Linked DNA regions of Xenopus tropicalis. The protein of the gene in region 2 interacts with the protein of the main gene of each other region in a biochemical or structural test. Links are inferred from orthologs where the notes say so. Each region holds a gene or a part of one and is shown on either strand. Other genes may lie near its edges.

What was found.
Region 1: the proteins of mc4r (region 2) and pomc form a complex in vitro, tested with the Homo sapiens proteins (2 studies listed by BioGRID). The link is inferred for Xenopus tropicalis from reciprocal best matches to the Homo sapiens genes MC4R and POMC.

What each region holds. Positions count from the first base shown.
Region 1 is NC_030681.2:153,208,636-153,212,945, forward strand, and holds the start of pomc (pro-opiomelanocortin precursor), read right to left. Parts: upstream 2,939-4,310; 5' UTR 2,900-2,938; intron 1-2,899.
Region 2 is NC_030682.2:84,341,011-84,345,387, forward strand, and holds mc4r (melanocortin receptor 4), read right to left. Parts: upstream 3,131-4,377; 5' UTR 2,840-3,130; coding exon 1,835-2,839; 3' UTR 512-1,834; downstream 1-511.

The DNA.
Region 1 (4,310 bases), on a different chromosome or scaffold from region 2:
TGTATATAATTATATTATGAATATACTCTTTTTGTGTAGCTTTTTGCTTTCATTCTTACCCCATAAAAGACTTGTATAGAGAGATAGATACATAGGATAAAGAATGAAGGTAAAAAACTTTTAGTCCCTTGTCCAATACAACTGTAAGTGAGTCAAAATAATACATTTTATTATATATTTTATATAGAAAATGAATGAATGGGTTGTGTTTCTAATAGGATCTGTTGTTCTTGTGTTTTCACTTTCATTCTGTTACCCCAAACACATACACACACATATATACATATATATATACTGCATATATATATATATATATGGGAAAAAGAATGACAGTGAAAAACGTTTAGTCCCTTGTGTAATAAAACTATAATTAAATCCAAATAACACATTGGACATAATCTGTATAACTTGCTTGGAATTAAACAACTCTAACGCCGGTGTAGGATACACATTACATATACAGTAAGTTTATCAGAGCCAATAAAACTCACCAAATAAAGAGATAAAAAAGAATAAATATTGATAAGAGGGTTTGAAGAATAACCTTGGTGCCTTTGTATGAATTGTATGGAGCCCCGCGCTGCGCAGCCATTCAGCTCCAACTTCAAACTGTTCTACAGTAAAGTGTTTTCATTGCTGCGACGTTATTGAATAAATATGTGTGTGAGTGTATATATATATATATATTTACTTATTTATTTATATATGTGTGTCTCTGCATTAACCAGTTGCTGCCATGATAGATTCAGTTAACTATAAACTATTTTAGTTGGGATCAAGTACAGGTACTGTTTTATTATTACAGAGAAAAGGGAATCATTTAACCATGAAATAAACCCAATAGGGCTGTTCTGCCCCAATAAGGGGTAATTATATCTTAGTTGGGATCAAGTACAGGTACTGTTTTATTATTACAGAGAAAAGGGAATCATTTAACCATGAAATAAACCCAATAGGGCTGTTCTGCCCCCAATAAGGGGTAATTATATCTTAGTTGGGATCAAGTACAGGTACTGTTTTATTATTACAGAGAAAAGGGAATCATTTAACCATTAAATAAACCCAATAGGGCTGTTCTGCCCCCAATAAGGGGTAATTATATCTTAGTTGGGATCAAGTACAGGTACTGTTTTATTATTACAGAGAAAAGGGAATCATTTAACCATTAAATAAACCCAATAGGGTTGTTCTGCCCCCAATAAGGGGTAATTATATCTTAGTTGGGATCAAATACATGTACTGTTTTATTATTACAGAGAAAAGGGAATCATTTAACCATGAAATAAACCCAATAGGGCTGTTCTGCCCCCAATAAGGGGTAATTATATCTTAGTTGGGATCAAGTACAGGTACTGTTTTATTATTACAGAGAAAAGGGAATCATTTAACCATTAAATAAACCCAATAGGGCTGTTCTGCCCCCAATAAGGGGTAATTATATCTTAGTTGGGATCAAGTACAGGTACTGTTTTATTATTACAGAGAAAAGGGAATCATTTAACCATGAAATAAACCCAATAGGACTGTTCTGCCCCAATAAGGGGTAATTATATCTTAGTTGGGATCAAGTACAGGTACTGTTTTATTATTACAGAGAAAAGGGAATCATTTAACCATGAAATAAACCCAATAGGGCTGTTCTGCCCCAATAAGGGGTAATTATATCTTAGTTGGGATCAAGTACAGGTACTGTTTTATTATTACAGAGAAAAGGGAATCATTTAACCATGAAATAAACCCAATAGGACTGTTCTGCCCCAATAAGGGGTAATTATATCTTAGTTGGGATCAAGTACAGGTACTGTTTTATTATTACAGAGAAAAGGGAATCATTTAACCATTAAATAAACCCAATAGGACTGTTCTGCCCCAATAAGGGGTAATTATATCTTAGTTGGGATCAAGTACAGGTACTGTTTTATTATTACAGAGAAAAGGGAATCATTTAACCATTAAATAAACCCAATAGGGCTGTTCTGCCCCAATAAGGGGTAATTATATCTTAGTTGGGATCAAGTACAGGTACTGTTTTATTATTACAGAGAAAAGGGAATCATTTAACCATGAAATAAACCCAATAGGGCTGTTCTGCCCCAATAAGGGGTAATTATATCTTAGTTGGGATCAAGTACAGGTACTGTTTTATTATTACAGAGAAAAGGGAATCATTTAACCATTAAATAAACCCAATAGGGCTGTTCTGCCCCAATAAGGGGTAATTATATCTTAGTTGGGATCAAGTACAGGTACTGTTTTATTATTACAGAGAAAAGGGAATCATTTAACCATTAAATAAACCCAATAGGGCTGTTCTGCCCCAATAAGGGGTAATTATATCTTAGTTGGGATCAAGTACAGGTACTGTTTTATTATTACAGAGAAAAGGAAATCATTTAAACATTAAATAAACCCAATAGGGCTGTTCTGCCCCAATAAGGGGTAATTATATCTTAGTTGGGATCAAGTACAGGTACTGTTTTATTATTACAGAAAAAACAGGAAAACATATTTTAAAATTTGATTAAAAAGGAGTCTATCTGTAATTTGGAGCTGGATAACGGATCCTATACCTGTATTACAAAATCGTTAAAACCATTTTAGATTTTAAAACTGCTATATTTACACATATTATTACATTTAAAAGCCATTAAAAATTGTTTCATGTCATTATTTAATATCGTTGCCCATGAAATTGCAATGCAGTACATTTTTGAAAACACAGATAAAAGAAGAGCAAACGAAGAGGGAACCTGTTTCAATAAAAGAATATTAAATATTTTTGGGGGGGCTTTTTCTAAACTTTAAAAAATCAAAAGGAATAAAGTAGAGGCAGGGGAAGGCTTAGGTATAAGCAATGTATGAGGAAAGGGAGACTGTATGTGGGAAAGGGCTTTCTTACCTGTTGATTTCAGTATTTCCAAGCTGTGCACTTCTTTGCCTGTGTCCTTCTCTCATCTCCAGGGCTGGTCTTTATATACCACATTTTAGCATTGTCTAGGGGGGAGAAGGGAACGGAGGATCTTCCGGACAGACCTTTCCCAGCAGAAGAGGAGGAGGAGGAGAAAAGTCAGGGTATAAGGTTGCATGTAAGAGACAGAACGGATGATTAGGAAAGAAAAGGTTGCTGGAAAGTCATGTACATGATATCTCCGTGGACAACAGGGATTAGCACCTTCCCTATAGAAAGACAAAGGTTCCCCAATCCCCCGGGATTGAACTTTTTTAACGGAGATTAATTAGAAGCTATTCACCCTTTGCAGTTGGCATTAAATAGCAATAAATGATCAAGGCAAATACGTAAATGGTGTATTCTGAGCGGGTTGAACCCAATTGGTTTTGCTACTCTTTAATTAGGGTGACGGCCAGTTTCCATCTAATAGGGAAAAGCCACTAAAGGAACAGGTGTTGGTCAGAAAGGGCATTTACATGGGGATCAGGGGGGTCAATTGCCTCTATCCACCCTAACAGAATCCACAACAGGTCTTGATTGCGTCGACTACATGTATCAGAAATATCAGGAGTATTGGAAAACGGGTCCCATATTGAACTCTTTAACATGGGCTAAAGAAGCAAAAGTTACTTTTACTACACAGTGGGACAGACTACTAGTTACATATCATTGGCCTTATAGCAAGAAAAAAAGAATAAGTTGAACAAAATTGAAGAAAATGCTATTATAAATTGTAACTATTGAAGCTCTTTCAGTGTTTTCTTTCGTTCCTGTTTCAGGATGGCAGTTGCTCATCTAAATTTGGACTTTCTAAAGTCATGGTTGGCCTTGTACTAGTGGGGTGGGACAGTAGGGTGGGACAGTATGTTGGGACAGTAGGGTGGGACAGTATGTTGGGACAGTAGGGTGGGACAGTAGGGTGGATGGAGTGGGACAGTGGGGTGGGCCAATAGGGTGGAGCAGTGGGGTGGGAAAGTAGGGTGGGACAGTATGTTGGGACAGTAGGGTGGGACAGTATGTTGGGACAGTAGGGTGGGACAGTAGGGTGGGACAGTAGGGTGGGACAGTAGGGTGGGACAGTAGGGTGGATGGAGTGGGACAGTGGGGTGGGCCAATAGGGTGGAGCAGTGGAGTGGGACAGTAGGGTGGGACAGTGGGGTGGGACAGTAGGGTGGGACAGTGGAGTGGGACAGTAGGGTGGGACAGTGGGGCGGGACAGTAGGGTGGGACAGTGGGGTGGGACAGTGGGGTGGGACAGTAGGGTGGGACAGTGGGGTGGGACAGTAGGGTGGGACAGTGGGGTGGGAGAGTGGGGTGGGACAGTAGGGTGGGACAGTAGGGTGGGACAGTGGGACGGGAC
Region 2 (4,377 bases):
CTCCACCGCTAAAGAAGGAGGACTAGGGGTAGGCAGAAGAGGATCCTGCCTGGCACCCCTCAATAGTTGCTCCCTAGGCAACAGTCTCTTCTGCCTAACCCTAGTTCCGGCCCTGTTACTTTTATAGAAATAGTTCTAACATGCATTTATTAACACGGCTCATTTTATGCTAATATTGTTTTTATTTAATAATAAAAACCTGTGTTTTTTTTATAATGACAGTCATTCTCTTTTATTTAATAAGGACCAATTTCATCAGTTTTAGAAATAAAGTACAGGTATGGGACCTATTATCCAAAATGCTCAGGACCTGGGGGGTTTTCAGATAAGGGGTCTTTCTGTCATTTGGATCTTCATATTTTAAGTCTACTAAAAATCACTTAAACATTATATAAACTCAGTAGGATTGTTTTGCCCCAATAAGGATAATTCTGTCTTAGTTGGGATCAAGTACAATGTTCTGTTTTATCATTACAGAGAAAAAGGAAATATGCTTTACAATTTTGAATTATTTTATTAAAATGGAGTCTATGGGAAATTACCTTTCCATAATTTAGAACTTTCTGGATAATAAGTTCCTGGATAATGATAAAAGTTTTCATAGCACAGAGGGAAAAAAATATACAAATATGATTAGCCAATTTTTAAGACAGCTTTTACCCCTCATTTAATGTTTTCTGTTGTAGTGTAGCCTCATGACCAGGAACAAAGCGAAAAAAAGCAAAACCCTACCCCAAATTTTATTATAAAGTTATGAGCAATCATACAGTTGTTGTCTAGGTGGTCACAAGGATATCCAGCAAATATCACACAGTTTTATCATTTAAATACAGTACACATTTTGGGGTATGGCTGATCACACACCAACTAATCTCCATGTGATTGGCAGTTCTGGCTGCTTAAGTAGATGCTAAACTGCTTCTGCTTCTTTTGAGAGGAGAGTGACCTTTGGCACCTGGTCTACTGGTGATCCCCAATATGGGCTAATGACAGATATCACCAGATTTTTAGGAAGGACAGACCAACTTCAATGTGTCTACTCAGTTTACTATCACAAAGAGACGCAGAAACAATATGGGGAAAAATGCACATGCTGTTTTATGCAGCAACGCAACCACATAAAGCATATGAAGTAAAAGAGCAGGTAGGAGCTACAGTGGGTTGAAGAGAAGTGGAAAGTACCAACAGTATAATATTTTAGCTGCTTGTCCCTTAATAGATCATGTATGTTCTTATTGGTAGTAACATTTCCCTCATTAAAAATGTTTTGCCCATTGACTGAAAGATCAATCTCACACCAACCTGGTATAACTATGTAGGAGGCCTTGAGTTATAACAGAGCGCTTGTGCTTGGCACAGGATTTGCTCTGTTCAATTAAAGCCCTGCCCAGCAAGTGATAACATGGGCATACAACCTGCGATGAGAAGATTTTCGTTCTCTCTCACAGATTATTTCATTCAACCCGAAGGTTGATCTAGGCCATAAATCATACATATTTAATAAAAATATATAAACTTAAAAAGTGCTCAACTGAGTGCTCTCTGAACATTTACTTAGCTACCAGAGGGATGTTGGGAGTTGCCATTAACAGTTAACATGCTGAATATGCTTAATGTATATGTTTAAGGTATGTAAAAACTGTATTTGAATTCTTCCTTCCAAGAGAATCTCTCTGATGCTGCGAAAACCTTGTTGCAATCCATATTCTAAAACTGGCTTTGCTTATACTGTAAGTAAGTATTCTGAGACCTTAGCACAGCTCTCATAGATAACAAATACAAATAAACAATGCATTACTGCTTATTACATTTGAAACAATTAGTTATCAGCATTTCAGTAACTGCTAGAAAAGTCCCATATTCCTCCCATACAGTAACAGCACATCATCTCCTTGAAGGTTTTTCTAAGCTCTTGGCTTCTTAGTGCATAAATAAGTGGATCAATAACAGAGTTGCACATAATAAGGATAAGGTAAATATTAAAGTGGGACATAAAACACACACAGTAAGGGTTTCTAGGGCAAGAAACATAGAAAATGAGATGAAGGAAGAAGGGAGACCAACAAGCTACAAAAACTCCAAGTAAGATTGTAAGTGTAATGGCTCCTTTCATATTGGTAACCTGTCGTACTGAGTTTGTCCCAGGTAGAACAGCAATCCTCTTAATGTGAAGCCTGGCCAGCATGAACATATGCACATAGAGGGATGCCATCAGAGCAAGCATTGTGAAAATTATACTTATCAGACAAATAATTACAACAGCACTGTCATAATAAATAATAAATAAGACACCAGAAATGGAGCAAGCAGTCCAGATGCAGCTGATAATGACCACTGCTCTCCTCACAGTAATTATATTATGGTACTGCAGGGCATAAAATATAGTGAAGTACCTGTCCACTGCTATCGAGAGCAAGCTGCAAATAGAAGCCAGCAAGGAGCTGCAAATAACAGAATCCAAGATATTGTCAACATTCACAATGATATGCTGCGTATTTTTGTCCGTAGTGTTAAACAGTGTGATTACTACAGTTTCAAAGCCATTAGACACACTCACAAGCATATCAGCTACTGCCAAGCTACAGATAAAGAAGTACATGGGGGAATGCAGATTCTTGTTTCTCGATATTGCTGCTATAACCAGTATATTTTCCATCAAGCTTACAATACCCAGGATGACAAACACTTCAGGGGACACAAATAATTGTTCGTAACAGCCTCCGGAGTGATGGCCTTTCTCTTTAGTGTCATTTGCTCCAGCGCCAACGGTGCGACTGTGGTTACGATAGTGCAGGTGATGTGGCTCATGGTGATGCGTGAAATTCATTATTCCCACCATTTACTTAGTGATGAAAAACATATGATTGGCTTTCTCCCAGAAGCTGCCAAGTTTGATATTATCAATTATGAAATGCAATCCAGTATGTTAATAGGAAAAAGATCCACAGTGGCATTTATGACAAGATATGTACGTTTCTTCAGATCTTCCGATTTTCATGCAAACTGCTTCCTGTATCCATGGTATTTTATGACCAAAAAAACTTTGTAGCTATTTTCTAGGTTATTCCAATATGTTGCTTGGATACTGAGAGGCAGGATACACAATGCTATTTCAGACTTCAGATGCAGCATCACCAGTAAGGCAGCCGAAGATTTTATACAGTGGAAAGCAATAGAATGAATAAACCCCTCCACCCTTTGTGTAGCAACCAATCAGAATAAAGATAAACTGGTGTCTGCAAATGCTAATTATACGGCAGCGGACATGCCAGACAGATCTGTGATATAATGCTTTCGTTGAGATACAAGGGAATGGAGAACTTGCTACAGCCTTCAATCACAACATTTGCCCCAAAAGGTTAATGCAAATCAATTTGTTCCAGTTACAGATGTCTTCCTATTGTGAGGATGCAAGCTTTTTGATAGATTATATCACCCCCTCTACCCAATAAGGTTTTTTAAAGTGCCATACAAAACTTGCTGCAGAAAAGACCTTGAGTAAAATGATGAAATATAATAGAAACAAATATTTTAGCTACATTTCTATATACAAAACAAAATGCATCTAAAACAATATTTTTTCATATTTTTTATTTCTTGGGTCCACTAGTTGTACCACTAAAATGCATATGCTTATACAGGTATGGGATCCATTATCCGGAAACCTGTTATCTGGACAGCTCTGAAGGAGGCCATTTCCCATGGACTCCATTTTAATAAAATTTTTAAAAGTGATTCCCTTTTTCTCAGTAATAACAAAACAGTACTTTGTACTTGATCCCAACTAAAATATAATTAATCCTTATTGTGGGTGAAACAATTATATTGTTTATTTAATGTTTAAATGATTTTTAGTAGACTTAAAGTATGGAGATCCAAATTATGGGAAGATCCCCTATTCATGAAACCAGAGGTCCTGAGCATTCTGGATAACAGGTCCCATACCTGTACTCAATAATTCCACATGGGCCACAAAACTACTTATAATATTATATATGTGTGCAAATTACATGAAGTTTTATTAGATACACTGCAAAGTGCCACAAACTTTAATATAGGTCAACAGTGAGTGAATAGCTAAATTACTTTCTGAGTTATACTACATCAGGGGTCCTCAAACTTTTTAAACAGGGGGCCAGTTCATGGTCCCTCAGACTGTTGGGGGGCCAGACTATAGTTAGTCCTCACACTATGCCCCCCCCGGCCCCCACTGCATCCTCACCCCTGGCAGCGTGGTCCCCAGCCTCAGTGCTGCGGTGACGCAACGCGATGGGGCCCGAGGACCATGATAAGGCAGACAGGTAGTAGCCAGGGTTAGGGATGCAGCGGGGGTGGGGGCCGGGTAAATGACCTTGGGGTTTGAGGCCCCCTGTACTA